Linked DNA regions of Tamandua tetradactyla. The protein of the gene in region 2 purifies or fractionates together with the protein of the main gene of each other region. This does not show direct contact. Links are inferred from orthologs where the notes say so. Each region holds a gene or a part of one and is shown on either strand. Other genes may lie near its edges. The genes, in order: SPAG5, MYCBP, ARFGEF1 and OTUD4.

Region 1 (7,926 bases), on a different chromosome or scaffold from region 2:
TGAGAGATTCCAAACAGAGTCACGTTATCCTGGAGGTTATTCTCACGCATTAAATAGATATCACCTTGTTAGTCAAGATGTAAGGGAGAGGCTGGAGGGAACTGCCTGAAAATGTAGAGCTGTGTTCCAGTAGCCATGTTTCTTGAAGATGATTGTATAATGATATAGCTTTCCCAATGTGACTGTGATTGTGAAAACCTTGTGTCTGATGCTTCTTTTATCTATCTTATCAACAGACAAGTAAAACATACAGCATAAAGATAAATAATAGGGGGAACAAATGTTAAAATAAATTTAGTAGATTGAAATGCTAGTGATCAATGAAAGGGAGTGGTAAGGGATATGGCATGTATGAATTTTTTTCTGTCTTTTTATTTCTTTTTCTGAATTGATGCAAATATTCTAAGAAATGATCATGATGAGAAATATGCAACTATGTGATGATATTGTGAATTACTGATTATATATGTAGAATGGAATGATCATATGTTAAGAATGTCTGTTTGTTGTTACATTTAAAAAAAAATTAAAAATTAATAATAAAAATAAAGCATCAGTACCTAATACATGTACAAAGATATTTACGCCAGGATTGTTTGTAGAAAAAAAAACACAGAAAAATAAATATCCATTAATGAATAAATTGTGATTTATACATACCATGGTACGCTATGAATTAGTTCTACAAAGTTGACTTACAGTGACTTCCACCCACATTGTTAAATGAAAAAAGCAAAGAGCAAAAAAAGTATATAATATGATTCTATCATGAAAATAACTATGTATGTTTGCATATTATTAAAAGAACAGAGAAAAATACAGAAGGATACACAGCAGGTTGTTAAATGGCTTGGGAAAAGCAAGGCATGTTTTGGAAGTACTGACTCCACAGGACCAGCAAAAGAAAGGAAAAGTAGAGCTAAGCAGAAGGAAAAAAGGGAGGAGGGAAGGGAAGGAAGAAGGGAGAAAAATATTGCATTTTGGGGAAAAAAAGTGCCTTGATTAAAAAAAAGTGTTATAATACATGGATGTGCATTTATGTAAATACATACAAAAACAGACACACACAGAGATAAATGAAAAGATTTTCAAATATATCAATGAGGTATCTAAATCAGTGGGAAAGTATTTTCTTATTTTTAATATTGTTCATGTTTCAAACAATGAACATGCATTATTACAAATAATCAAAATTTATAAAATAAAAATAATAGTTATTTTGTAGGGGAAAAATCCCTTTTTGTTAGTATAGTTGACTATATTATGAGATGGTGAAGGTGAATGGGCAAACTCTCTAGTTAGGAGGGGCAGGAGACACAAATTCTAGTCTTTTCTATTACTGTGATTAAAGGGCTATGGTTACATTCTATAATCTCTATGGACATCAGTTCCCACTTAGTATTTCTTATTTTCTTTCTTAAGCTGTACTATCCAATATGCGTGCCACTAACCACATGTGGATATTTAAATTCAAATGTAATAAAAAATTCAGTTTTCCAGTTCCACTATCCACATTTCAAGTGACTAGCAGCTATCAAGCTGGACAGCATAGATTGTCAAACATTTCCATCATCACAGAAAGTTCTATTGGATGATAAGTGTTGGAACTCTTTCAAGAAAAACTGCTATCCTCAAACTTGTTACTCAGGGTATTATCTGTTTTTATATATTCTTCTACTCTTAAACCTATTTATATCCCATCTCCTTCCAAAAATAATTCAGACTGCATGAAAAAGATATGAAGTCTTAGACAAAAAAGAAAGAAGAAGCAAATCTTCCAATTTCAGGAAGTAAGTGTAGCTATACCTGGTCATCAAGTATGATCCCGAGCTTCTTAGAAGCCAGAGGATGAGGAAAAATATGAGAAACTACATGGGTCTCATTATCAGTAGAAAAAGACAAGAACAGGAAGACCATTTTTCCAGGTGATAAGTTCTAAAAGAAATTTCTGTGAGGAACCTTACAGACCGGGGTCAACTTCTTAATCTGACAGTTTCTATACCGCTGCCTCTCTCAAAATCTTTGACAAACGCAGAATTTAGCGGTCACAGCTCCAAGAGACTAAACTAAGGTGGTCCATATTAAGAGTGATATACCCAGCCTCCCATGACCCCAGTAAAGTTTGGACTACCTCATGGAGTGGATGGATATTGACTCACAGCTGTAACAGATCGACCTCTCCCTTACTGAGCCAATGTAAGAAGGAGCCAACCGATCAGTGATAGTATTTCTCAGCAGTTTAATACAGGCTGAGTGGATGATAAAAACTAACAGCTAAATAGAGGTTTGGGCTCTCAGTGGATTTCCTTTAACCAACCTCGGGTACCTCTCTGTTGGCCTGAATAACTGTAAATGGATGTTACTGAGGTAAAAGACTTCATTATCGTTATTAATTACGTTCCAGCCCTGGCCCTCTGTTCCTTTGAGCTCTGGACCTGGGCAAAGTGCCCAGTAGAAAAGCCGGGCGACTCTCACCTGCAGCCCCAGCTTGCACAGTGATGGGGTCAGCGAGGAGCATATAGCGGGCCCTTTTCCAGAATTTGTGTGGGCATCAGGCTGCAGGATAAGTTCTCGGAGGGGCGTTCTCATAGCTGGTTTTCCCTGGGAAAGAGAAGAGAGCGAGAGTGAAGAATCCAGCCCTGGGCTGGCCGTTCTCCTTCCCTTAGAGGCCCCTGAGACGATGAGAAAAATAGGTTCGGGCTTCAGTAGCGCTGAAGAGGCCAGACGGAACAAGGTTCCTTACGGACCCCGGCCCAGCCTCCACCCAGCTTTCCAAGACACTCGGCACTGCCAGCGCCCCCGCCCCAGATCCCTTTCTCCGCGAGGCTCTCCCGCTTACCCGCTGGGGTGAAGGCGACAGGCTGAGGCTCAGTTTTTTCGCTCGCCACATCTTTGGGGTAGAGGGCAAGTCGACTACCTGCTAGACCCGAGGGGAGCCGCCATCTTCACCCGCCGTCTTTATTTGAACTTGCCCCACGCTTCCCGATTGGCTGCCGAGGTGCGTCAGGCCGCCGCGTCTGTTCCGGACTCGCGCCGGCGGGCGACGGGTGGGCGGGGCCGGGGGGGGGTCGCACGCCTCCCGCGCCTGCCACGGGGTTCGCTCACTCTCCTCGAGCGACCGCGAGGCGCAGGCGTTGGCAGGCAGGACGCGACAGGCTCGCTGCAGGTCCTGAGCTTTCAGGTGAGGGAGGGCGCCGCAGGTATCTGGAGAGTCAGGATGTCCATCCCTCCTGCTTCCTTCCAATGGACCACCTTCACACCTTGTCAGGAAGGTTGCCTCGAGGCCTGGTCTTGGGAAGGCTCTCCTCAGGTACCGCTTCAGACCTGACAGGAAATGAGCCGGCCGGGGAGTCAGGAAGGCCGAGGTGAGTGGAAGAGTGCGTTTCACTTAGATCTGGAGGTCTTGCACGTGGGTCCCATATCCGCGATGGCCTGAGACGCAGTTCCCAACCAGTCTGCAGCCCCCGGGCGGCGGTAATGCCTCTTCAGGATTTCTGGTCTTTTCTTGGGACTTAAGGCCTGAGACAAGTTTACTGAAACATGTATTGAACATTTCTTATTTGCCTGGCGCTGTTCCAAAGTGCTTTATTAGCTCATTTAGTCCTCTTAAGGGCCTGTGAAGTACTATAAATATCCCCGTTTATAGATGAAAGAACTGAGTCATAGAGAGACAATGTAATTTGCACGAAGTCCCTCAGATAGTAAATGGCAGAACCAAGATTCCAACCCACACAATCCACTACTACGTTCTCCTGCCACTTAAATCCTGTGTGTAGGGGAGATTTATCCGTTGAAGGTGGAATCAACTTTTCGAAAACAGCATAAAGGCAGGTTTATGATAGAGTGTATGTTCCTTTGAACACTCACAGCACCTTATTTACATTCTAGAAATCTTAACGAGTTTGGAAAAGGCAAGGAGGAGGAACAATTATGAACTGCAGGGCTTTTAGGGGATGGGCTTCTCTAGAACTATGTTGTCCAATACGTAGCCACTACCATATGTGGCTATTAAGCACTTCACAAGTGGCTAGTCCAAATTGAGATGTGCTATAGGTATAAAATAAATACTGGTCTCATTTTAAAATATTGATTACGTGTTGGAACGATTTTTTTTTTTTAATGTTGGGTTAAATAAAATAGATTAAATTAGTTTCACGTTTCTTTGGTTTTTTTTTTTTTTTTTTTTTGCATGGTCAGGCACCGGGAATCGATTCCTGGTCTCCGCACGGCAGGGGAAAATTCTGCCTGCTCAGCCACCGTGGCCACCCTCACGTTTCTTTTTGCTTTTTTAATGTGGCTATTAGCAAATTTATAATTACTTATATGGCTTTCATTTTGTTTCTACTGGACAGCACTGCTCTAGAAACATAACAGTCTTAGTTGCTTGAATGGGAAGTTTGGAAAAGACAATATAAGAAGACTAAGTTGAGCCTGGGATTGCCCAAGGCTCAATTCCAAGGCACACTTCTAGTTAATATTGATGCAGCAAATAAGACAAGGGTGGGAAGTGGCAGAAAAACCAAGACAGAAAATTCTTAAGTGCCAGGAGAAATTTAAATTTAAAAAGGTGTGAATTGGAATGCTATTCCTTGTTGCAGCCAGTGTGTCAGATGTCAGCTGTAGCCAAAGTGATGTAGTACTTCCAGCAGTAAATCAGGAGGAATATGTATGGAGTAGATGAAAAAGAAAATGCCATTGGGAATAATAGATAATATAAACAGAATTAGTTTGTTGAAGTTATTTTGCATAATATTTTTTTGATTTGTTGGTTTTTATTTTATTAAAAAAATAGATTATAGCAAGTAAAATAATATAATGCAAAGATGTATTAAAGAAAAAGCCTCTCCTGTCCATTTTACCCTCCTCTACACAAACATACACAAATTTACACCAACATACACACGCACATATACAGGGGGCTTCTTGTGAGTCTGTTGAAGGAGAATCAAACTATACACTTGACTCTGTAAATTGCTTTTAACAATTAATCCTAGATATTCCTATGTCAGTAAATGTAGCTCTAGTGCTTTATAATTTCTTTTTGCACAATCACACATACAGAATTTTAATTGATGAGTCTTTGGGATTGAGGCCTAGTGTAAACCTTTATTATATTTTTCCTCTTATTTTCCCACTTGCATTACTTCTGTCTCCCAAATTCTTGTTCTCTTTCTCTCTTAATACTTTTTCATGAATGTACTAGCGCATGCACATGCATACATACATTGAGTCCTTTATAAAAATGAAGTAATTTTTTGTTTGCATTTTCTTCTCACTCAAGGTTTTGTAGAAAGCCTTCTAAGTCAACTGATATTTGCATTGACTTCTCACTTCATATACCTTTTCCCTTTTTAAAAATAGATTATTTCATTTTCCTTTCCCATTTGTAAGAGTTCTGTTAAAGACAGTAGCTCTTTATCATCATATTACGAATATATTTTTGTCTATTGTTTGTCTGTTGATTTTATTAATGGTATCTTTGACCATAGAAAGATTTTACATTTTTATGTGGTTAAATATGTCTTTAATTACAGTTTTTTTATTCTCTGTCTTGATTTAGGTATCTCATTCATCCCTTGATTGTAGTTCTAGTCCCCCAGTTGTTCTAAGATATTTTTTTAAATTTATTTTATTTATTAAATGTACCAACATACAAACACAAACATTCTTACCAGATGATCATTCCATTCTACATATATAATCAGTAATTTACAATATCATCACATAGTTATATATTCATCATCATGATCATTTTCTAAGATTGTTTTAATGTATCACATTTAAGGCTTTAATCTATCTGGAGTTAACTTTTGCATGTGATATGAGATAGGTGTTCAATTTAAGTTACAGATTTTTAATTTTTGAATTAGAGATTTCTTATTTTGTTGAACAAATCAGCTACCTTGAGGAATACCTACCAGGCAGTTCTGAGTGAATTCAAGGATGAAATTGTGGAATTATTAGCCCTGCTGCTGAATACGATGGAGAACTGAACAAAGGAAGCAGTGTGCCACTGCTAGTCACTGGGACCCCATAAACAACAAATTCATGATGAGGCCAGTGAAATCTGAAATGATGAGTATGTTCTCAGAATAAAACAAAATTGACCTAGGGAAAAAGGTAGTATGCTTTTCTGTAAATTAAAAAATCATTCCTGATTAATACATTAGAACTCTTCACAGAGGTTAATAATGCATTTTCATAAAAGTGAACCAGTGAATGTGATTTTATTTAATTAAAAAAAATGCTTGACAGGATTCTACATTGAAGACTCCTTAAAGAAGTAACAAAGGAATTGAGAGTACCAGTTTGTTAAATCAGTGAACAAACAAACAAATGAACAGATCAATATATGATAAAGGAACTTAGGTTAGTGATTTGAAACAATGAGTAGCACTCCACAAATACTTTTCTAGAAGAATATATAAGATTGGTTGTTAGGACTAATCTTAAATTCTTATAAAAGAGAGGAATATAGAGTGAGATATCCGTGTTTATAAGTGTATTTCCTGTCTTCCCTAGGTAATGAAAAGCAAAGCATAGGAATAAACTTAGGTGATTAGAAAAGTTGTATATATAAGGTGTTTTTTTTTTAAGTGAATATCATATGAATAATTAAAGGGTGTAACATTTGTAGGTTAGTTATTCTGAATGAGGTGGGAGGTGGGGAAGAGAAAATGTCCTCTAGGGATGAGCATATCAGAGTTCGGGAAGGAGGATGGGGCAGTGATACTTTCTGAAACTTTTGATTCTCTATCAACCTCTCCACTCTACCCTGCAAAACACTGCTGTAGTGAACAGCTAATTAAAGAGAAGGTTGGAAATGTGATCATTTGAGAAGAAATGATTTAAATTACACTTATATGATCTTGGTCTCTAAGTTATCTAATATGGCTTAGGAAAAGGACTCTAGTGACATTATGCTAACCATTTCCTAAAGACTAACCCATTATGCTACTGTAAGCAGAAAGGCCAGTATATTGCTGGGCAACCTGAACATTAACAGTAGGCCAGACACATAGTATTGCATAGCATCAGATCTCTGCATCTGCCCTTTGAGAAAATGTTACACAAATCTGAAACTCATTCCCCACAATTCAGAACCACAGATTGTAACCCCTTCATTTTATACACCAGGAAACTAAGATCTAGAGTGGTTAAAATGACTTGTCTAAAAACACTGAGTTAGTATTTGGTGGATCCGGGCACCAGGTCTGAATTTCAACATAATGTTTTTACTTTGGAAATCATTCCTATTTTTAGTATTCAGGGTTTTTTTTTCAATGTACAGTTCTGCTCACTACTACTTTTTTTTTAATGTAATAATGCTAGAAAAGGGTCCAAAGAGAAACAAATGAGATAATCAAAAGGATTAAGGATACATTCTTTTATTTATTTATATCCCAACCTTATTCCAAAAAAGCTTACAAAGACGCAAGTAATATAGTAAGATCAAAAGATTAAAACTTAGAAAAAGGTTAAGGAAAAGGTAGAAAAGGAAGATGGAGCCAAGAATGTGGCTAACACACAAAATGCACAACATGAAGTCCTAAACACTAGCTGGAGGTGGGCCACAAATTAGGTTCTACGTGGTCTAGCATCTTGTACAAAGAGAAAAATACAATAAATTGAATAATTTCAGGGTATTTAAGGTGAAAACCAAATAGCAATTCTGGAAAAGCACAACTATCACCAGAAAAAATTTCTCCCATGCATCCTCAGATAGAACACTATGAATTTTAATGATAACTGTCCTTTACATTATGCACAGCAATTAAGTTTCATAGGGACTTTCTTTAAGACAACCTTCAATGAATACAGGAGGCACCATGCCAAAGTGCAATTCAGAAAAAGCAATTTTTCAGAGGCCAATAAAATGCCAACTATGTACAGGGAAAATATGGCCTAATCCAAGGATGGAATTAA
Region 2 (7,675 bases):
GTATATATAATTATTAAAAAGTAAGTAAATGATAGTCCCACCACCCAGAGATAATCATAGGTAATATTTCAATGAATATCCTTCTAGACTTTTTGTATGTATCGCTACAAAGAAATAGATATTTTTACAATAATGGGGTCATACTATTCTATATCAAGAATAGACCTAAAAGCCAGACTGATAGGACTTGAATGCCAGCTCCAACTGTGCGACCTTGGGTAAATCAATTAAGGTGGGCCCTAGTTTCCCCCATTATAAAATGGGGAAACATACTTCATGGAATTTTTGTGATGGACCTATTTTGTAGTTATACCATCCTAGTATTTTGTTTGTGTAACATTTTCCTTTATACAAGGGATATAAGATAGACTTTTTTTTTTTATGAAAGTGAATTAAAAGTCACTCTTTTTATCTTTCCTTTGAGAGCCCAGGCTATCAACCTTAATATGGAACCCACTAGCTGATAATCCAGTTAATTATAAGTTTCTCTATTGCTCCCTCAAAAAAAGCAAGCTACATGTCTTAAATAGCTCAGATATTGATACAATGAAAATTTCTATAATACCACCGTGTGCTGGTTTGAAAGGATGTATGTACCCTAGAAAAGCCAGGTTTTAATCCTAATCCCATTTTGAAAAGGCTGCCATTTCTTCTAATCCCTATTCAGTACTGTATGCTTGAAATTTTAATTAGATTATCTCCCTGGAGATGTGACTCAAGAGTGGTTGTTAAATTGGATTAGGTGGAGACATGTCTCCACCCATTCCAGGTGGGTCTTGATTACTTTACTGGAATCCTATAAAAGAGGAAACATCTTGGAGAAAGCGGGAGATTCAGAGAGAGAGGAGAAGAATGTCAGAACCATGAGAAAGCCACAATAGAGAATGCCTCAGAACTACAAAGCAGAGAGTTCACAGTCAGCGACTTTTGGAGATGAAGAAGAAAAACGCCTCCTGGGGAGCCAGAGAGGAAGCTAGCAGATGATGCCGTGTTCGCCATGTGCCCTTCCAGCTGAGACAGAAACACTGACCATGTTCACCATGTGCCCTTCCAGCTGAGAGAGAAACCCTGAACTTCATCAGCCTTCTTGAATCAAGGTACTTTTCTCTAGATACCTTAGATTGGACATTTCTATACACTTGCTATACACTTAATTGGGACATTTCCATGGCCTAAAAACTGTTAACTTGCAACTTATTAAATTCCCCTTTTTAAAAGCCATTCCATTTCTCGTATATTGCATGCTGGCAGCTAGCAAACTAGAACACACCACTACACCAATGATGCATTGATTTCAAGTAATATAAAATTTTGGCACTACCAAAATAGGTGACAACTTTTGTGGACTAAAAAAACTAATTCAATTTCCACAGTAAAAGCCAGATCTGTTTCCTCTGGTTTTATTAAATGCTATATCTTACTTATCAGATGGAGAACATTTATTTTCCTTTGTGTATACAAGAGAGTTAAATGATTAATCTTAGTAATAACTTTTATATAAAATAATCTTAATAAAAAGATATGTAAGATCCAGTTGGTAGGTTTAGGAAAACTCTATAAAGCTCCCCAGTTTAAAAACAAGACAAACTTCCTATAAACTAAGTAAGAAGATTCCTTTCTACAATTCTATTAATAAAGAATATATACATTGCTACCCCAGGTTTCACGCTTTTAAAAACTGCATTATGAAATCTAAACATGATTTTAAATTCTTGACTTATCTTAAATATTTTCCTAGTTATAATTATTACTGCTATCTAGGGGAAAGGTAAAGCAACCAACACAATGAATGATGCTTTGTTCAAATTTTGGCTATAGGTTTGCTTAAAGAAATTCTTCAGAACAGAAGAATTCACCTATCTCCTATTTGATGGGATTCAGAGCTAAGATGGCGGAATAAGTAAACATGGAGAACTGGAATTTCCTTGAAATTGGAATTTTCCTTGAATTGGAATTTTCCTATTCTGGAGGAACTTCATACTCACTCCACTATAATTGGGAATATCTGGCTCACCATCCTGTTCATATTTCGAATGCTTGCTCTGGGCACAGCAGCTGAAGATGTATGGAATGATGAGCAGTCTGTCTTCATTTGCAATATAGTCTGTCTTTATTTGCATTACAACCGGCTACAGAAATGTATGCTATGACCAGACCTTTCCTATCTCCCTCATTAGATACTGGGTTCTGCAGGTGGTATTTGTGTCTTCACCGTCCCTGGTCTACATACATGGGCCATGCCTTGAACAGACTGATCGTTTTGGAGAAAGAGAGGCAGAGGGTGAAAGTGCAAGTGAGAAGAGAACTAGAAGGGGTAAAGCTTGAAATGCCTGGGGATCAGAGAAGATTGGAGCAAGAACTTTGTCAGCTGGAGCAAAGAAACTAAATAAAGCTCCATTCAGAGGAACTTGACTTTGCACTTATGTGATACACGTTTTCACTTGCTCTGTGGTTGAAGCTGGTTTCATGATTCTACAGTATCTTTTATATGGATTTCACTTAGAGCCTCTATTTAAACGCCACAGCTACTCATGTCCAAATATAATTGTTTTGTCTCAAGACCAACTGAAAAGACAATATTACTTTTATTTAAGCAATCCATAGTCACTCTTTCACTTTTCTTAAATATTCTAGAAATTGTCCCCCTTGGTTTTAATAAGATTAAAAGAGGGCTTTGGGGACAACATAAATTGAAGGATGAACATAATGAATTCTATGTGAACAACTGAAAACAAAAGCCTGCTAAATATCAGCACCCATCTATAAACTCACTGAAGCAACTTCCTACTGCACCTGAGTATAATCTGTTAGTGGAAAAGCAAATTCACGTAACAGCGTACCCTCACTTAAATACATCTATATTACAGGCAAATAGTGACAATCACTTTAGAAATAACAAACGTCTTTCAGATGATCAGGATAGTTTCTGAGATATGCACAATTATTATTACATGGAGTCATCTTCAACAGATCAGTTCAAACAATCATGAAGGGACTCATAAAATACTTGAATAAGTGTAAACAATTAAAGGAAAAAAGAAACTGATGGCAAAGTCAGCAAAAGGAACTACTCTAGAGATCACATTTCTTTCTATTCCAAGTGTTGTTTAGATCTGGACAACCGTGTGGGATAGTCCCCCAAACTCTACCAGGAAACCAAAGCAGCTTATCTGGGGAACATGGGGTTCCTCTACAGAGGATCAAAACTGGATGTCCAAAATGTAGCCTCAAAGCCAGTCCAAAGAGGGCACAATCAGACCCTTCCTCCTTCAGAGTGACTCCCAGCCACCTGACATTCCAGGTACTCCTGAATCTCTGAAAGAACTGCCTTTTGAATTTGAATTAATCAGAACCCACAATACATTAGTGCTTGTCCTCCAAATCATTTAGTGTCACTGACCAACAACTTCATTGGTAGGAGGGCTCCCACAGACCTTCAGATCTGAACAGCTGGTGGCTTTCAAACATTCTGCATATGATATTATAGAAGTAGTCTAGTGAGAGGAGACAAAATAGATCTTTGAAGACCAGCTGTGAAGATAGACACCTATAAACCCCTTAAACAAAGAAAAAAGAAAGATAAGTCCTAGAGTAGCTTTAAATTTAAAGACAGAGTTATAATCAGGGTTACTTCTTCATCACCCCCTTCAGAATGTATGAAGAACTGATTTGGGGACAACTGAATATTCAGCATTGAGAAAAAAGGTGTGGAACCAGGTTTTCTCTTTGAAGGAGATTGTTCTTTTCTATATAATTCCCTTCTTTTAATTTCCAATCTTTTTATTTATGGACACTGGGTAAAATGTATTTGCTCCCAGAACTAAATAACTTACTTTCATCATAGAAAACTAATGTGTTTTGAGAACAACCATAATGCGGCTATTTAGTAAATACAATGTTAAAAAGATCTGTGGCTTTTCTTCACTAGTTTAACTAGTGATTAAAAGGGGACTCTCGAGTGGGACTGCTCGGATCAGAGTCTTGCCTCTGCTACACACTGGTCACCTAACTTCTCCTCCACCTTACTAACAGCATATAACCTTCCAAAGAAGGGTTAGAATTAAACTCAGAAACACACGGATTGAGTACTGTGCTAGGCACACAGTAAGTTGCTCAAAAGTGCTAGCTATTATTATTAGCATATTATTTACTACTCACCTTCCAGAGGCCCAGGTCAAGGTCAGCCAAACAACAAGGAAAATACAAACTTAAAAGCTGGTACCCAAACATACTTCTAAACATTCTCTCCAGGCCATTGGAAATCTAAGGATCGACCTGCGTCTGCAACGGGCCCTTTATCATCGTGAGCAAAGACCAGTAAGCACACCTTCCAGGCTCCCACTTGGAAAGGTCCTCCGTCGGCCAACGTCGCGGGCTGCGCAAACTCCGCTCCCGAACGCCACGCCCATCTCCAATCCCACCTGGACACTCACTCACTCACTGGTCCAGAATCATCAAAGCTTCGCCTCTCGCTAAGCAACCGAGTCGCTGCGTGGACCGGAAGAGGAAAGAGAAGCACTGCTCCGTTGGCCAGAGGGGCGGGCGTACGCAGCCTCCCTCGGCTCAGTCAGCTGTGGAGAGGCAGAGCGTCCTGGTCGTCATGATAACAGGCCACGCCCCGGCGATTCCCCACCGTATTTTGCAGGTGCGCAGGCGCTTGCGCCCTTCCGCGCATGAGCAGTACTGCTCGGAGCCCGCCAGCCACGGTCTCAGGCGCCAGCTACGCCGCGGCCGCTGTCACTATGGCCCATTACAAAGTGAGGGGAGCGCGGCGTGGCTGGGGACGTGCGGGCGGTAGCCAGCCGCTGGTCGGCTCCGGGTGGGAGTGGGGACGCGCGCGCAGGTTTTGGGGGTCTGAGGTAGTGAGGCGGAGGCGGGGTTGCCGGACTCCCAGAGCCTTCTTCCTGCTCCGGTCCCCGGGCTTCGGCCACTGACCCGCCGTGTCTCCTCAGGCCGCCGACTCGAAGCGCGAGCAGTTCCGGAGGTACTTGGAGAAGTCGGGGGTGCTGGACACGTTGACTAAGGGTGAGCATGGGCTAGATAGAAGGTTCCTCCTGCCCTCGTCGGGCTCCCCGGCGGTGCGCCCCGGACGCGGCAGTGAGTTGGGGAAGGAGAGGGGAACAGGTGGGACCCACCTGGCCCAGCAAGGTGGCTCTTGGGCTCCGCTGGGAGCGGCACGCCGGGCGGGGCTGCCGGACGCCGCCCTGCTAGGGGTAGCCTAGCTCACGCTACCAGTCTCTGGGTCGGGGAGTGGAAACTCTTGCAGCTGTTGCAAAGTCTTTCCAACTTCCGTTGCTTTGCCTTGAGCAGCCGCAGCGGGCGTGTTTGTTAAAGATCTTGAGATCCGGATTCTTCCCACCTTCGTTTTTTACGGAGCCCTCTGAATATTGTTGAGAAACATCTTCCCTTCAACAAAGGGATAAGTGAGAAAATTAGCAGACAAAGTGGACGATAAAGTAGCTGAGTCTAATAACCCAAGTAGGCGATTCATAGTCAATTTGGCTGTGGCTTTCAATTCCCATTTTTTAGTCTATATTAACTCCTATTTTGTGCAGATTTCATACTTAAAGTAGAATTACAGTTTGAAGAATCTGAAGCACACCAAAATGGTTATACTGTTTTCGCTTTTAAACATGGAAGCTTACTGTTACACTATTATCTCTTCTTCGGGATTCAGGATCTAAGTAGATGAGTAAGGGGAATGAAACTGGAAGGTTCCAAGAGATAGCCAGGGTGCAGTTTAGTTTATTAGCTCAGCGTAGTGTCAGTGCTTGTGTATCTTTCAGTTCACTGTCTGGGATTTTCAAGGGTGTAGAGTGGACGATCTAGTCGGGAGGAGGTCTTGGGTCCATATGAGAAGAATAGGAAGTATCTGAGAAGTAATTTGCTAACTGTTCTTCGGGCACAAGCAAAGCTTAAAGGAAAATTCTGGGAGAAAAATAACTGTGGGTCTTACTAGAAAGCAGAGCTTTTAATTCCCCTGCATGGGATGGTAGTTCTGAATTGCTATCTATTTTGGGCTCAGATGTTAGTTTTCCTATCTCTTTGCAAATAAATTTCACGAAACATTAAGGGAAAGTGCTATACTATGTTGCCTCTGAAAGTATCACCAATGCTTAGAATGTTGCCAGCCCCTCCAGCCAAAAAAACTCCGTAAGTTCATTTCTGTCATTTATTTAACCATTTTATTGAGGTCTGGGCACTGGGGAGACAGTAGTGGAAATAAAAAAAAAAAGTCCCTGCTCTCATGAGCTAATATTCTAGTTGGGGGAGACATATAATAAGTAAATACATAGTGTCAGCTAGTGTTATGAATAAGAGGACAGCAAGATAAGAGGATAAAGAGTGATAGATGGGATGTGGTGGTGGATGACCTCTCTTAAGAAGTTAAGTTTGATCAGAGACCTGAATATCAAGTATTATGTGATGTCAGGGGTTCCAAGAAGTTTAAATCTGCCAGAGTGGTGGGATGGAGTGAGTGAAGGAGAGAATAGTTAAGGGCAGAGAAATGTTGGCTGTGGTAGATGGCTGCACAGCTTTGTGGTATAAGGATTTTACTTCACGGGAGACTGGGAACCAGCTTCCTCTCACTTGCTCGCATCCACTGGAATCTAACCCCTCAGTTTCCCTACATAAAGTCAGACTATTTAATATTGTTAAACTTTGGTTTTCAGCTTCAAACATTATATACTTTAGACAGATTTAATATATAATTTTTATTCAGTGTATTTCCAAGAGAATTTGGAACTGCTATAACATTAAAACACTATAAGGCAGGATGGCTAAAGATAAAGATGATTATAAATAATTTAGAAGAAGAGGCATCTTAGTAGCACATAAGTTGATTATTTTGAGCACTATTTCCACCTCTAAAATTCCTGGCTGCTAAGGAAACATGATCAGGTAGAGCCTTCTTGTCTGATTAAAAGGAAGTATACGTCATCTATAGAAAAGCACAGAAAACTTAAAATATATATTCTGTAATTACTAACTTTGTAATTATCATTCACAAAAACTTAGAAGCTAAAAAGTCAGTGGGGGAAGAAGCAGAGGAAAGGGTAGAGTGTAACTACCCATGAATTTTATAAACCCATGTCTTATAAAATTGGAATCTACTGGAGGACAATGGAAATTAATGGAAGAAGAAACAAGTTTGAGCATATAATTTAAAGGAAGTGGTAGTAAATATGGGAAATTAAAGAGTACTATAAATATCAGATATTGAAAGGAGAGAGGAGGAGAGGAAAGGTGTAAATATGCCAATTTCTAAAAAAATGCATTATAAGTGCATTTAGAGAGATGAAGAGTAACTATTAGAACTCAAAGTAAATTAAATGTAGTTGTCTATTTGGTTTTTTTCATATTGTCTCTATTTCGGTAAGTGATTGAAAAACAAAGGGAAGCATGTAAGGAGGCTCGTAACTTGGGGCTTAGATAAGCACATTTTTTACTGTAACTTGTTTTGGCTGTTATCAGATTTTTAAAAGTAAATTCTAAGAGGAATTTGTTCGCTAGATGATGAGCAAAGTAGTGCTAACATGAGCTATATGTTATGAAGACATTAAAGTGTATTATGGATTTAAGCATGCTGTTACTGGTAAAGCTTTTGGTTGTTAATTAACATGCTGTGTGTGAAACCTGATTCTTGAAGAATATTTTGAATTCAAAGCTTCTT
Region 3 (7,225 bases), on a different chromosome or scaffold from region 2:
GACAAAGTTTCAGTGGCAGGGAGATTTCAAAGAGTCAACAGGTTATTCTAGAGGTTATTCTTATGCATTCTATAGAATCCCTTTTTAGTTTATGGTGTATTGGAGTGGCTGGAGGGAAGTACTTGAAACTTTGAGCTGTGTTCCAGTTGCCTTGATTCTTGAAGACAATTGTATAAAGAAATAACTTTCACAATGTGACTGTGAGATTGTGAAAACCTTGTGTATGTTGCTCCTTTAATCCAGAATATGGACAGATGAGTAAAAAAATAAGGATAAAGAATAAATAATCAGGGGGACAAACAGTAAAATAAATTCGGTAGATGGGAATAATAGTGATCAGTGAGAAGGAGGAATAAGGGGTATGGTACTATGAGTTGTTTTTCTCTTTTCTTTTTCTAGAGTGATGCAAATGTTCTAAAAAATGATCATGGTGATGAATACAAAACTACGTGATGGTACTGTGAGCCATGGATTGTACACCGTGCATGGAATGTATGTGTGAGGATTTATCAGTGAAAATATTTTTTAAAAAAGTAAAAAGAACACAGCATTCACATTTGTGACACATTAAAGGGGATGTGAACTTACAGTCATTAAGTTCAATATCTTGATTTTTAAGGCCCAGGGACTTGCCTGATATGGGATCATAACAATTGAGATTCAAATCCAGGTTCCCAGATTCTCCTTCCAGTAAGCTCTCCATAAAACACACTTATTTGTATAAGTTTTTTTGGAGAGGGTAAATATTATACACAACACACACCATTTCTTCAGTCTGACATTTATTATAATGAATATAATATTTGTTATATTACAAATATTTTCTAACATGAAAAATCTGAAGTATCAAAAACTAAATGTTTAGGCTGAATCTTTTAAGTTCTTTAAGCCTACAAGTTATACATATACCTACATATAACAACATTTTTTAAAACTCTGAAATCTCAACCTGTCACAATTTAATAATTATTTCTTTCAGGACCCAAAAATAAATTAAATTTTTACCACTGTACCATTATGTTCTCATATACCTGAAACAGCATTTTATTAGCTACGAGAATAACAAAAGGCGAACTTCTGATCCATGAGAGGTGCAGGAAACTAAACTTAAGCCCATTATACATGGATGCAAAAACTTTAAGATGAAATTTCTTTGATTTTTTTCAATATTACCAAATTTAAGGATCAAAAATGAAGAAAACAGTTAAGTAAATTAAATCATAGCCTATTTATTTTAATATTCAAAAGGCAAAACTATTTTTAAGCCATCTTGACCCTTTATTTGGCATAAACATACAAGTATTCTGGATTCCTTCCTTCAAGAACACTATTTTCCAAAGCCTATCCGTTTTAACAAGCTTCCTTTTCTCATCAATTTGGCCTAGTCTGTTTCTAGAGCTATGAAATAAAGCCTAAGCATTAGAAATTCATCTTTGTGTTAAATGTCCTGATCTCTCCCCTTAAACGACTTCATCTTTGATGGATGCGATTGAACAGTGTCCCCCTCTTTAATCATTCCTAAATCCACGTCCTTGCTATAAGTACTGTTTAGATTTATCCTGCTATGAGCTTCATTACACTAGATCTCTTCCATCTGAACTATAAATCACAATTCAAGATTGCGAGCAGCTGCCGCTGTCCAGACATGTGGCTGGTGGGTGTCATTGTCTTTTTCCATTTTCCCCATTTCAAACCGTCCCATCTCCTGTCACGGAAAGCCAGTTTATCTAAAGGTCCTTTTCCTCCCCGCTTTTATACCACTACCCCTAACCTCTGATCATGTTCTTCCAGGTCAGCCCAGTCAATACATTACTCTGTTTTGTTTTGTTTTTCCTGTGGCGGAGGCGGAGAGATGTCAGAACCGGGTGCACCTCTTGTAAAACCCTTCGCAGAATGTCAGCAAGGAACAACTTCAGCCTTATCTTTCCAAAGTACCACGCCGAATAAAAGTTATCGTAATTGCGATACGAAACCCTCCCCACACACAATCTTGACAGAGCAGCTCCACCTCAATTTCCATGCTAATAAACAACAGCTCATCTTAGGCTTCATCACAAAGGGTGGTATCCTATCCATCCCGCACAGCCCACCAACAAAATTCTCTTGCAGACTCGAAGCAGGTGCCGGGCAAGCCCAAATCCTGCCGCGCACCTCGAGCCCAGCCAACTTCCCTTCCTCCTCCACCCTCCCCTGCCCCACATCCAGTCGAGTTGCGATCAACTCCTGCCAGGCAGCGGAGAGCTTCGCGAGGGCTCCCCGAGGTCGTGGCGCCGGACGTGGGCAAGCCCCCGGTCGACCCCACCTCCGACGGGGGCCGCCGCCGCGCCAGTTACCCCCACCTCACCCCGGGCCTCCCGTCACTCACCTAACGCCACCTCACAAGCTTTGCGCAGCTGGGAGTGATGCGCCTTCTTCACTTCCTTGTCGGCCAAAATCTTCTCCAGGGCCCGGGTAAGGAACATGTTCTTCGTCTTCTTCCCCTCATACATGGACGCAGAGGAGGCTGCGGCTCGTCCGACCAGTTGCTCCCAGAGGCCGGAGGGGGGTGGTGTGAAGGAAGTGGGAAAGAGAAGAGAAAATAGAGGGTGGAGATGGGGGATAGGAGGCGTGGAGGGCAGCGCAGGAGCAGGAAGGGGCGGGGAACTGGGACCAGCCGCGGTGCCCACCAGGAGCCCGAGGTCCTCGCTGCCCCCCGAGAAGCCGCCCCTCCAGGGCCGCGCCCGTCGGGACTCGGCTTCTACGGGCCTGGGGGTCGCTTCCCAGCCGCCCCTTTCACTTGTCCCTCCGGCCCCGGCGGAGGTCTGCCAGGGACCGAAGGCCGAGGTGGCGGGGGCTGAGAGGCCCGGCGAGAGCAGAACTTCCCTGGCTAATGTGGGGTCAGCACCCGAGGCGGCCGAGGACTGGCCTCCATCACCGCCGACCTGCCCTAGCCGCCATGTTGGGAGGAAACGACGCGTCACGCAGCGGCCGAACGGCTGCAGAGGAGGAAGCGGCGGCGGCGGCGGCGGCGGCGGCGCTGCTTAGTCCAGAGCTGCCGCGGCGCCGGGAGGCAGAGGCGGAGGACGGCGCGGGAGGAGCGACCCGAGGCGCAGCGCTACGGCGGCCCGGCGGGGCCTCGTTGCCTCCCGCGTTCGCCCGCAGGGCGGCGTGGGGCGTGGCGGACCCCGGGACCGTGCCGTGCCCTCCCACCTCCTCCGAAATGTTTCGCTCTTTGGGAGGGTAAACTAAAACCAACTCACAGAGGTTCGGGAATGTTTCATTTTTTCATGTATCTGTAGGATAAATCAATGAACTAGGTTTTAAGTCACTTCGGTGTTGAGTCTGATTCAATTTGCTTAACAAGTCAATGTTTCTGAGTGATGTGGTCACCTGGAGCCCAGTGTTTCTATGCCTTTAACACTAACTTTCGGTCCAAGAAATGAAAAGAGCTTTAAATACAAACAGATGATCCTAAATACACACAAACGTGACCATGTGTCTGCTTTGGTACCAAAAAAAGAATTCAAATATCTACGTTATTTGAGGAGAGAATTACGGAGACTACTATAAAATGTACGCGAACAACTTACTATAAAATGTACGCAAACAAGTGATGTTGGGGGCACTTCTCAGATAAGAACCTGAAATCTATTCTTCCAAGTTCCAAGCCACTGTGTGTTTCCATCAACACCCCATCACTAATCCTTATGTCTCTCTTACTATTCTGTTCCATTTCATTGTCTCTACTCTGAACTTTCTCCTAATGCGACTGTGCAAACCGATGAATGGAAAGATTTGGAACAAGCTAAAAACCAGAAGAAATAAAAATGGAAGACCTTAAGATGACTAATTTTTAGTACTGTTATGCTGAGTGACAAATCCATTAATTCCATTGAAGATTAACAAATAATATAAATGGAAAAGAAAAAATGGAGCTAATATTTATATCAGTTAAAAATAGAAATAGACACCAACTGGAATTGTAGCACCAATTAGGAAAGGATTCTAGTGGAAAAAGCAACTGGATTCTATTCCTGAATTGACCACTTGCCTCAGCAGGACTTTGAACATGTCAGTTACTGTGCATGTTCATCTGTAAAGTAGGAAAAAATTGATCCCCATACAATATAGCCAGAATTAAAATGTGTTTATTTATTGATCTGAAATAAATATTTATTAAAGTGTTAGATACTAATACCAAGTGGTTATATAAGTATTATCAATATGCAGAATGCATTTTTAAAGTTCGAGAGGAATTGCTCTACAATATTTACACAACGAAATACTTCTCAAAACTGATTTGTACAAACATTATCAACTCTGTAAGTTTAAAGAAAAACAAGCAAGGAGCCACAAATAGTTTTTAAAGTCTTTCTCTAGATTCATGGAAATTGGAGATTCAATACATTCCTAGATCATACATAATATTGACTGCTTATATACATTCTGATAGATTAAAACCTTTTTGAGAATAAGCTCCATTTATTATTGACTTTGTTTCTTTACAATGCCAGTGTTGTGCCAGGCACTTTGAAGGTGCTAGCTGATCACTGATTACATTTAACTCTTCTTCCTCATCACAGAGATGCGTTGTATTCCCCAACTTCCTTTGCAGATATGTGTGTTCATCCAGACTTAGCCCTTTGTCTTAATTTCTTTGGCTTAAGCAATGTAAATTTATTGGCTTATAGTTTTGAAAATAACTCCACATCAAGGTGCCATCGAAGTGATGATTTCTTGCCAAAAACTGGCATTCTGGGGTTGGCTGTCCTGTAATCCTTGGTCCTGGATTTCTCTGTCACATAGCAATGGACATGGCAGCCTCTCTTGGCCTCTCCCTTCTCTTCCAGGTTCTGTTGACCTTCAACTTCTTGCTTCCCGTGGCCTTCTCTCTCTTTCTGTCTTGACTTTTGCTCTGCTGATAGAGGACTCCAGTAATAGGATTAAGACCTATCCAGATTGAGTTGGGCCATACCTTAGCTGAAGTAATCTCATCAAATGCTCCTACTTACAATGGGTTCATTCCCACAGGAATGGATTAAGTTTAAGAACATGTTTTTTCTGGAGTACATAGCTCCAAACCACCATACCTTTTTTTTTTTTTTAAATGTCCTACAGAAATTTTCCACACTCATTCCTCTTCTTTGCCCATATGCTGAATATGGCAGAGATCCCTCAATTACCACTTGGAGGAGAGTTGGCCACTCATTAGGAATACCTGTTTTGGATTTTATGTGAGCAAAAAAGACTCTTCAGTTATGTTTAGCAGCTAGCTTTATCCTATTGGGATTCCTTAATGAGCAATACAGAGAGAAATCCCTGCTGCTCATAGACTACTTTATAGCTCCTTTATAATCTGAAATCATCTGTTCTGTTTGTTAGTTTATGGTCTATTTCCCCAATAAGTGTAGGGATCTCATCTATCTTTTTCACCCAACACCTAGTATAATCCTAGATATATAAAGGTCTTTAGTATAAACTTAGTGATTAGAAACTTGGGACAATGAAAGGTACTTGTTTAGGTCAGGCATGATCACTGCGCTTGTAAAGCTGATAGTATGTAGCCACAAGGAAAGATATTAAACAAGTAATCACTAGTTAATATATGATTACAAATGTGTGAGCTGTAATTAAAGAAGAGAGCTATGAAGCAATCTACTTTAGATTATGGATTCAGCTATGGCTTGCCTGAAGAAGTGACATTTAAACTGAGAGCTGAAGAGTAAATTTAGCCAAATTAAGTCAAGGAAGAGCTTTCCAGGTAACATTCTCTTGAGGTGGAGGGAAATTTGATAAGTTTTAGGAACAAAAAGATTAGAGTGGCTGAAAGGATCAAGGGAATATGGTGTCAATAAGAATGGAGGAGGACTAGGCATACAAGTATTGTATGATCTCACTTATATGAAATAACTAGAATATGCAAATTCACAGAGACAGAAAGATGATTACAGGGTACTAGAGGTGGCAGTGGGAGCAGGAAATGGAAAGCTAATGCTTAATGGGTACAGAGATAGGTAATGGATGGTGATGATGGTAGCACAACATTGTGAATATAATTACCACCGCTGAATTATCTACTTGGAAGTGATTAAAATGGGAAATATTATGTAGTGTATATATACATATATCATATTAATTTTTTAAAAAATGTTGGGGGCTGACAAGAGCAACTGAATGGGTAGGGACGCAATTTGTGGAGATGGGCTAGATTGCAAGAGAAGCAGTTTTGAGGGTGGGAATTGCAGTTTTCAGTTCCAGAAGAATCAATGCCTCTGAGACATGACCAACCCCTTTCAGAAGCAACAACCTACATCCTCCTCTCTCCCAGAGGATGATTCATTTCCCCTTCCTGCCAGGTCTAGGATGTCACCTAAAAGGTTTTAGGAATGGTGGTATGGAAGGAATAGTCTTGAAAGGATATTAACTCAAAATATTAACTCTGACTTGGGGCAAAAATAGAATAACACTTTGGAATAAGGCTGATGTCCTTGGAAGATAAAGGGAAAGATACTATTTTTAGTCTTTTGTTGACAAGTTCACAGGGTGCTGAGAGGAAGGGACTGGAGGGTGCCAACTCAGGTAATTTTTACATAAAATTATGACTGTATTGCACCGTACATTTATTACCTTTTTCTTTTTATTATTGTTGTTTTGTTTGGTGCTTACCCTATGTATTTAAATAAGAAACCCAATCTTAATATTCACTTGCATTTGATTCCTTGCTGTTTTCAAAACATTCAAATTCTGTGTACTGATTTGCCTTTCATCCTCTAAATTTTAAAATATATTTTTCTATGCATGATTGCTTTTCTGAGTCCATTTGCCTGTCATTGTGCAACCTCGCCTTTCTATAGTCTGACTACCCTTCATCTTTCCTTTCATCTATAACTTTGCTACACACTGACAGCCTTGTCTTTACTCTGTACATTTTCCCCACTTTGGTTCCAAGTTGTCAAATAATATCAAAACTAAAAGATGCGTATCTGGTTTTCAGTTTCTTGGTGTGCTTTATTATAGTCCTTTTAACGTATAGATATAATTTCAGCGTACGATGAAAATTAAACAAACCGCATAAAATTTTAATTAAGATTGTGCATATTTGATTCAAGTTAAAAGGCAATATTTGTTAGCATCATAAAGAGTAACATTCATGTGACTAGGAAATTACTTCACCTCCAAAAGCCTTGCACATGATCTCTAAATCCTATTAGTTTTCAATCTGACCCTTCTTGACTTTCAAACTAAG
Region 4 (7,764 bases), on a different chromosome or scaffold from region 2:
GAGTGTACTTTCATTACTGTCTTGTAACACTAGAGAAAAGCACTAAGATTCCAACACTGGAAAGACTATTCACATGTGAAATAATCACCATACAATCAGACAGCCAATTCAACAAATGAAATTTAGCAAAATGTCTTTCACAGTAGCTATGTTAAACATTATTATGAATCAACCACAGTATTATCTGATAAGACTTTTCCTGCTGTTACCAAAGTGAAGCTAGTCCTAAAACCATTACCTAGCAACAGGTGGCAGACATAAGGGCTCATTTCCCATCAAAAACAATGGCAACAAAAAAAATAATAAAGGCAAGTGTATCTCATTTTTTTCTCTTCTAAGAAAGATTTTGGCATATGAAATCAGAAGCACAATCCTCAGCAACATCCACAAAGTGTGGAGGCACGGGTGCTTTATAAAGCTTTACAAAGCAAGAGAAACTCTTTTCACTGCAAGAGAAGCAAGGTTAAATGACAACTTAAAAAAAATGATTGTGCAAGTTTAATTCAGGAAGAATTAAAAGGGTTTGACATATACCTATCTTTGCAAATTATTATATGCATGAAATGAGCTAGAACTACGAGATTTTCCCATCTTAGAACAATATAGTGATAAAAACTGGGAAAGGCTAAGGCACACTGCTTTAGCAAGTCCTCTTAAGAGTGGCCTATTTTTAGTTCCATAACTGTGGAGCTGATTGAGGTCAAGCCTCCTGCAGGCCGAATTCTACAAGTGCAAAAAGGGAAAGGCCTATCTTTCCCTATCTAAATCAGGTAATGTGGAGGGAAAGACTCCTCCTAACTCAATCTCTCTAAAGACTGCCTTTAGATTACTTACTCTGTCTCCTTCTTAGAAATGAGGGATATTTATATTGACTTCATAGGAGAAATAGTTGACAAAAAAAACAAAACCCTTTGTACACATTTTATAGGAGGAGCCTGAGGCCACTGTTATTTCCCTTTTCCCATATACACTTTGCCTTTGGCTATGATTGCTATACCCTTAGTCCAAGTCTACTTTAGAAGTGGGGTGCTCCCAAGTTCACAGTGTTGAGCTTTCCAAGCTCAGTACTAAAAACCATTCACATAATTGGAGGATATTTCCTTATATCTAAGGTAAATCCTAGTACAGTAAGATACACCAAAACAGTGTTATCTGATGTTAGCAATGATTCCTTAGTCTAACTAGCTGATGCCCCTTTCTACTAAGAAAAAAAATTTTAGAGATCCCATTACAATAATTTACACGCCTCTGTATAATCAAGTTTGCAAAATATTTATAGCAAGTAATGGTGAAACCAGATACACCTTTCTGTTTCAATATAAATGACAGCCTGGATAATCCAACTCCAAATACACTCCAAACTTCTCTTATTTCAATTAGTTTCTACCTCCTTCCTTATAAGACTCTTGCTACAGCTAACAGTATGTATAAATATGGGCTGAAATCACTCCCACTTCTTCCCCCAGCTTCTAGAGGTTCTAAGGAGTTCAGGGAGTCTTAGGAAGAGGAAGGAAAAGGGGACGGAAAATTAATACGCGCATGCGCGTATGTGTATGAAAGAGAGAGTACACCACAGGAACACCAAACATTCCATTTTCTAAAAAGCAAAACCTAATGGAATTGAAAAAGATGGAGCTTGGTTTGGGGAACTTTAGGAAGAAAGTTTGAAAAACAATACCTGTAACCTAGTGAAAATGGCTTATACTTGTTAAATCAATTGCTTGTTTAAAGAAAAGATTTTATGTCACTGAAGTGAAAACAGCAATCTTTGGAAAAGTGATGACTGGTCTGTGAAGTTTAAAAGAAAAAGAGGATGGACTGCTCCCCAGGTGTTCATTAAGTAAAATATTTACTCATAAACAAAAACCCTGAAAGCTAACTAGCATTCAAAAAAAAGGTGAGAAGATCATAAAAAACTCATGGACAGGGCACAGATTTTAAGCAAACTGAAAGGTGTGAAATACAGACTACAGCAGTAATGTAAAACTTTTACCCAACTACTTCAGTAGTTCTTTTTCAATAAAGCCAGATTTTGGTGACTGCACACCTACAGCTACACATGTATTATACAGCCTGGAATAAGCCCTTTCAAGGAACAGAAGCACCGCCCTAAGCAATTTTGTGATTTTGACCACTAACAGGGAAACATCTGGTCAAGGAGGGCCTAGAGGCTCTCCACTTACGCCGTGCCTACTACTAACACCAAAACAGTAAATTCTTTTTTAAAAAAAGAATTCCGTTTTTGTGTACTTACACTGTCTTGCAGAACGTAGTGAGAGGGGGAATTTACTCAAAGACAATTTTCAAAACCCTGTTTTTCTTAAGTGCGCTTTCCCAAATTGCAAATTTTACCCTCTTGATTGAGTGACATGACATCGGAAGGCTTGAATACCCCACATTCCAAAGCCTGGTAACAAAAATACACATATTCCACGAGGAAAGTTTGATGCGCCACCTCCTCCAGGAAACATCTGGTTTACTGATGTGAACGTTATGCTTAGAGAACGAAGGGAAGATGAATGCGGAACAAAACAGAAAATTATCTGTTCACCAAGCCTGCAAAGCATACAAACTGTACATGGCTCAGAGCAGGCCTCATAAGTTGTCGTCGATTCATTACCTTTTCAACAGGAGAGGCGACACCCAGTCATCTCACAGGCTTTTACATTCCGGTTTATAGCTCTAAGACCTAAGGCAGCAACCCGTTCCGGCGTTACAATGGGCCGCTATGACGACAGCGGCGCCACGCGCAGCCTCACCCGGCGGCCCGACAACTGCCCGCGGCCGCACCCGCCTCCCCTTGACCCCCGCCAAATTATTACCTGTTCCGCCACGGCCCGGAAAAGGCACGACCCGTCCTTGGCGATCAGTTTCCGATACAAGCCCAGTTTCCGCAGATAAGCATCCATGGGCGTCGCGTCCCCGCGGAGCCCCGCGCCGCCCTGGTCCCCGCCGTCGGGGAAGCCGACGGTCGCTTCCATGTTGCCGGTGCTCCTGCAGCCCAGGCGTGGCGCGGGCTAGCCCCACATGGCCGCGCCGCCGGCTCCTCGACGCCCCGGCCTAGGGCAGACGGCGGCTCCGGCTCGGGCTCCGCTGGCGGCGGCAGCAGGCGGCAGTGGCCCGAGGCACCGGTCCGCGCTCTCCGGGCGCATAGGGGAAGCCCTGCCTAGTGCATGGCTGTTCGCACGCGGCCGCCTGCCCGGAGGGACCACGCGCCCAGGCGGAGCACGTTGAAAAAAAATTAAAGAAAAACCCGAGAGTGAGGAGTCACTTCCCTGTGGCCTCGCCGCCCGGCTCAGGAACTGGACAGGGCGCGGGGGGTCACCGCCTCCACAAGTTTCCTCGTCCCGACTGGTGTGAGGCGAGCAAAGCCCCGCACGGGCGAGGGCGCCGGGCCGGCTGAGGTGAAGCGAGGCCTGCGTCCCTCACGCGTTCCCCACGCAAGCAGCCGAGGAAACCAAAAGAGAAAGAAGCGGCCTTTCGTTTCCCCACCTCGCGGGAGGACGCCGGAGGGGCGGGGAGCGGGTGGGGGCACCCGAAGGAGGGTTGCACCCTCGCAGCCCAGAATTTGTTTTCGCTTTCCGCCCGACAGCGGAGAGGTCGGCGGGAGGTGTAGTTTTGGCAGCGGCAGGAAGTCGGATAGCGGCGGGTGAGGACGCGCGGACCGGCCTACGCGGAGGAGGCGCCCGGGAGGCTCGCGGACTACAAGTCCCTACAGCGCCAGCGCCGGCGCCGCCTCCCGCTTCCCGGGCCCCGCGGCCGCGAGCAGGCCCAGGGTCTCCGCGAGCCGATGCGCGGCCGCCTGCGCGCGCCGCCCGGGCTGACCGGCTGCCGGCTGCTCCGCGGTGCCGCGCAAGTGCGCGTATCCTGCGTGCGTGGAGTTGCCAGGGACACTGCGGCGGCAATGTCGGCCCTTTGTGTATTTCCAGAGAGCGCACCTGTTTGCTCCCCTCCCCCGGCCTACCCTCCTGGCGTTTCCATGGAGGTGGCTTTAATGGCTTAAGCAGAAAATAGAGCTAATTGGCGAAGGCTCCTGGAACTGGCGGCGTGAGGCACGACACACGCTTTCCATAAATCAACCGTGGACTGATGATTCCTTTTAGAAATTAGAAATACTGCTCACGCATTACGGCGAGGTGATGACTTTGCCACAGACGGTTTTGTCCATCGCCTCACTGTAGCTGTGCCCCCAAACACGCAGACAACTAAGTCAGCGGTCAGAAAAAAGTTAAAATTATTTTATCCTTTCTTAAGAAAAAAAAAAAAAGTCCTGTAATTGCTTGATAAGGTACCAGACTTGCCATGGGTTTTAAGAGCGCTGAGGCTTCCAGCTCAATTTCCTACCCTCCAAAGTTGAATGACGAGGAAATTGGCAAAGCAGAGTCAGAGGCTTTAGAACCCGGAATTTATCCAGCATACTTTTTGGACGCCAGAAATTTATTTTGCTAAAATACAACAGCGTCTGGAGTCCTTATTTAAATGTGTTTAATTGTAGAAACTGCTCCAAGCTTTGAAGCCTTGGAGGGAGAAGGGAAAGTAGAGGGATTCTATAGGTTTAGACAGGTAGTAGAATAAGCACTTTGAAATAGGGCCAAGGGAGGCTAAATGGTGAGTGTCTAACATAAGTTACATAAGTGAAAAACATAAATGAAAACTCTCTTAGAAATGTATTTCCAGTTCTTTAGGTACAAGCACTTACGTAGTAGTGCGTAAATTTCCCTTGGAGCTTCTAAATTTTGATTTCTTAATATTTAAAGAGTCTATTTCAAATTGTGCTGTTTTCAGAGAATACAGACGTTAATCTGACCTACGTGAAAGGATTTCTTTGTCCCAATATTAAATTTTTTACAGATAGTATAGAAACACTTTGGAATCACTTTCAGAAAAATCTAATTTCAGATCAAATCTGTTGCTTTTCTTTCTTTGAGTATATTTACATTGCATATGCTACTCATTACACTATCTTAAAATTGCCAAGTATTGCCACTACTCACAACATGGCTTGCCTTTTAAACCCACAGAGGAATTCAAAGTAATGTCTGAACTGTAGAGTTTTAATACTGAATTCCAGAAATGAATAGATTCTATCTCACTAATTTTATAAATAACATACTTTCTGCCATGACTAAAGAAAACCATGGCTTTCCAAGCTTTTATTTTAATATTCCTTCAATAAGTTCTGAAGCTAATCTCATATTTAATATATATTTATAGGAAACGAGCTGTATAGAACATGCTAAGATTTTATGCTGAATATCTTGAGAATATAATAGAAACTTGTATTTCCTGGTATTTCACATTTCGAAGTTTATCAACCCTTGTTTTGTATTTGAAATGTCATGATTACATTACTTTAATTTTAAAAAAGAGTTTTCAAATAAAAAAGATTTGCTCACTTTTATAAGTTACATTCATGGGAAACTGGCAGTGCTTCAAGCATATTTTTATTTTATGGATTATCCATATTTTAATCCTATTCAAATGTGCTGACTTTTTAAAAAATAATGTTATAACTTCTAAAACCCCAGAACTCCCTAGAAATACTTCAAAAAGAAAAGGAAACCAAACACGTTAATTCTACACTTTATTTTCCATTGCAAAAAATGTAATCCAAAGACAAAAATATTATCAATATAAGAAGACATGATCATTTAAATAAATTGTAACTATTCTGGTAGAGTCTGGCACTAGGGCTTGCTTTCAATATTTTTAAAATGAATTACTAAATACTAAGAAAACAGAGGCCTTTATCAGTTTACCACAATTCTATACGATCTTATAAAACTGTGGTTTGTTATCTGAAGGAATAACCATTTCTACTCTTTCCTAGAGTTGATGTAGTGCCAAAAATTACTTATTGTCCTCACCCTTGCTGAATGAATGCAGAACAGCCTCACACTAAACTGGCTGCTTCTGGTTCCAAAATTAGAAGTCATGCACCTGTTTTTCTGACCCAGGGGCCTGTTTAAGGAAATCCTTTAGGTATTTTGAGACCTAATCCAAGACAGACCCTCTGTATGCCAAATCCCCAAATATAGCTCAGTGTTCAACCTAGATTAGAGGATCCTAGGACTTTAAACTGAACCAAAACTTAGAGAAAGTCTCTTATTTTCAAAGGCCCGTCATATGTTAACATTAACATTTGAAACTTATCAAGGGACCAGCTCTGATTGAAAATGTTCGTTTGGAGGAAGCCACTTCTGACCTGCCAAAATTCAGAACTTCTTTAAACAGCTATCATTTTAATCAAATAAAACCTAAAAGACTGTAATTCCTGAGAACCAAGTAAAATTAATCAAATTCACCTTATGTCAACGTGTCAACCAACTCTTCTTGTACACAATCAATACCTCAAGTCGGTTTGTTTCCTCTGACGAACTTTGGGACTAGAGACTGATTGCATTGGACTGAATTGTTTAAATTTTTATTAAAAAACAGATTTTCTGGATTTTTATTTTCCTAATAGGAAATTAGGTATTGAGGTAACCAGCCTCTAAAGATGGTTACTTTCCAATGATCCCTGCCTCTGGATATTCACCACCCCTCCCCAACCTACCCCGTCCACAAATTGAGTAGAGCAAAAGTGATAGCATGTCACTTCTGACATCATAAAAAAACATTTGCAGCATTTGGATTGCTCTCAAATACTTTATTGGTTCACTCACTCTGGGGGAAGCTAGCTTCTATGTGCTGTGAGCAGACTTAGGGAGTTTCCTTTGGTAAGGAACTGAAGCCTCTTGCCAACATCCACGTGAGTCAGCTTAAAATCAGACTCTCCAGGCCAGTCAAGCTTTCAGATGACTGCAGGCCTGGCAGTCATCTCAGCCGCAACAACATGAGAAATCTTGAGCCAGAAACTTCCAGTTCTGAGATTCTTGACTGAGATTCTGAGCTTCTTGATCTAAGTTGTCTGAGATAATAAACATTTGTTGTTTTAAGCTGTTAAGTTTTGGAGTGTTATAATTCTTATACAGCAATAGATAAGCAATAGAGATAGAATTCTCCATTCATTCTCTTTACTAGGTTGATATGGAATGTATTTCAATAATTCATGAAAATAATCACTAATTAATATCATTAGTGGTCTTAAAAGTTCTCTAAAATAAATAAATAAATGTGAAATATTTTACCAAAAACAAACTAGCCAGTAAGTGGATTTCTAAAATTTATTTATAAAATCTTTTCTCACATAAATGAAGTAACCTAGAAATGTCTGGACTTAATTGCGACATACCATGTTGGTTTATTTTCTATAAAAGGTCAAGCAACTGAATCCTACAAAGAACCTATTTTATGAAGTGAGAACAGTTTCTTCCAGATCTTCTGTGCAAGAGATCCCTAACACTCCTCTACTTCCCATCCCATTTCCCCTGAGTTTTGGGTCTGTGGCTGATCAGCTTCAGACCACGTTTCCCAACCTACCTTGGAGCTGAATATAACCATGTGACTGTATTTAGGCCAATGCAATGTGAGCAGGATTGATGGGTTCAGCTTCCAGGTCATCTTGAAGATGAAGCATCTGCCCTCTACTCTCTTTCCCACTTCCTATAAGCTGGGTTGGAAAGATGGTTGAACTATTAGACCAGCTTTGGGCATGCAAAAAGATAATAGATGGAGGAACTGGGGTCTCTAAATGCCTCATGGCCTGTAAGCTTTGGAACACTCACTTTCAAATCGTTTTGTGAAAGAAAAATAAATGAATTGAACCCACCACTTTTTGGAGAGGGGTTATAGCTGGGGAGGAGCAAGGGGGGAAAGGAAGGA

Evidence for each region.
Region 1: the proteins of MYCBP (region 2) and SPAG5 purify together in Homo sapiens (co-immunoprecipitation; 3 studies listed by BioGRID and IntAct, with this or other methods). This does not show direct contact. The link is inferred for Tamandua tetradactyla from reciprocal best matches to the Homo sapiens genes MYCBP and SPAG5.
Region 3: the proteins of MYCBP (region 2) and ARFGEF1 purify together in Homo sapiens (co-immunoprecipitation; 4 studies listed by BioGRID and IntAct, with this or other methods). This does not show direct contact. The link is inferred for Tamandua tetradactyla from reciprocal best matches to the Homo sapiens genes MYCBP and ARFGEF1.
Region 4: the proteins of MYCBP (region 2) and OTUD4 purify together in Homo sapiens (co-immunoprecipitation; 3 studies listed by BioGRID and IntAct, with this or other methods). This does not show direct contact. The link is inferred for Tamandua tetradactyla from reciprocal best matches to the Homo sapiens genes MYCBP and OTUD4.

The regions. Positions count from the first base shown.
Region 1 is NC_135332.1:51,827,245-51,835,170, forward strand, and holds the start of SPAG5 (sperm-associated antigen 5), read right to left. Parts: upstream 3,018-7,926; 5' UTR 2,891-3,017; coding exon 2,840-2,890; intron 2,602-2,839; coding exon 2,476-2,601; intron 1-2,475. UniProt on the Homo sapiens protein: Essential component of the mitotic spindle required for normal chromosome segregation and progression into anaphase. Required for chromosome alignment, normal timing of sister chromatid segregation, and maintenance of spindle pole architecture.
Region 2 is NC_135328.1:186,514,632-186,522,306, forward strand, and holds the start of MYCBP (C-Myc-binding protein), read left to right. Parts: upstream 1-4,655; 5' UTR 4,656-4,673; coding exon 4,674-4,757; exon of another isoform or gene 4,758-4,952; coding exon 4,953-5,025; exon of another isoform or gene 5,026-5,406; intron 5,407-7,675. UniProt on the Homo sapiens protein: May control the transcriptional activity of MYC. Stimulates the activation of E box-dependent transcription by MYC.
Region 3 is NC_135332.1:111,147,055-111,154,279, forward strand, and holds the start of ARFGEF1 (brefeldin A-inhibited guanine nucleotide-exchange protein 1), read right to left. Parts: upstream 3,010-7,225; 5' UTR 2,490-3,009; coding exon 2,366-2,489; intron 1-2,365. UniProt on the Homo sapiens protein: Promotes guanine-nucleotide exchange on ARF1 and ARF3. Promotes the activation of ARF1/ARF3 through replacement of GDP with GTP. Involved in vesicular trafficking.
Region 4 is NC_135348.1:22,904,355-22,912,118, reverse strand, and holds the start of OTUD4 (OTU domain-containing protein 4), read right to left. Parts: upstream 3,016-7,764; 5' UTR 2,982-3,015; coding exon 2,823-2,981; intron 2,749-2,822; exon of another isoform or gene 2,621-2,748; intron 1-2,620.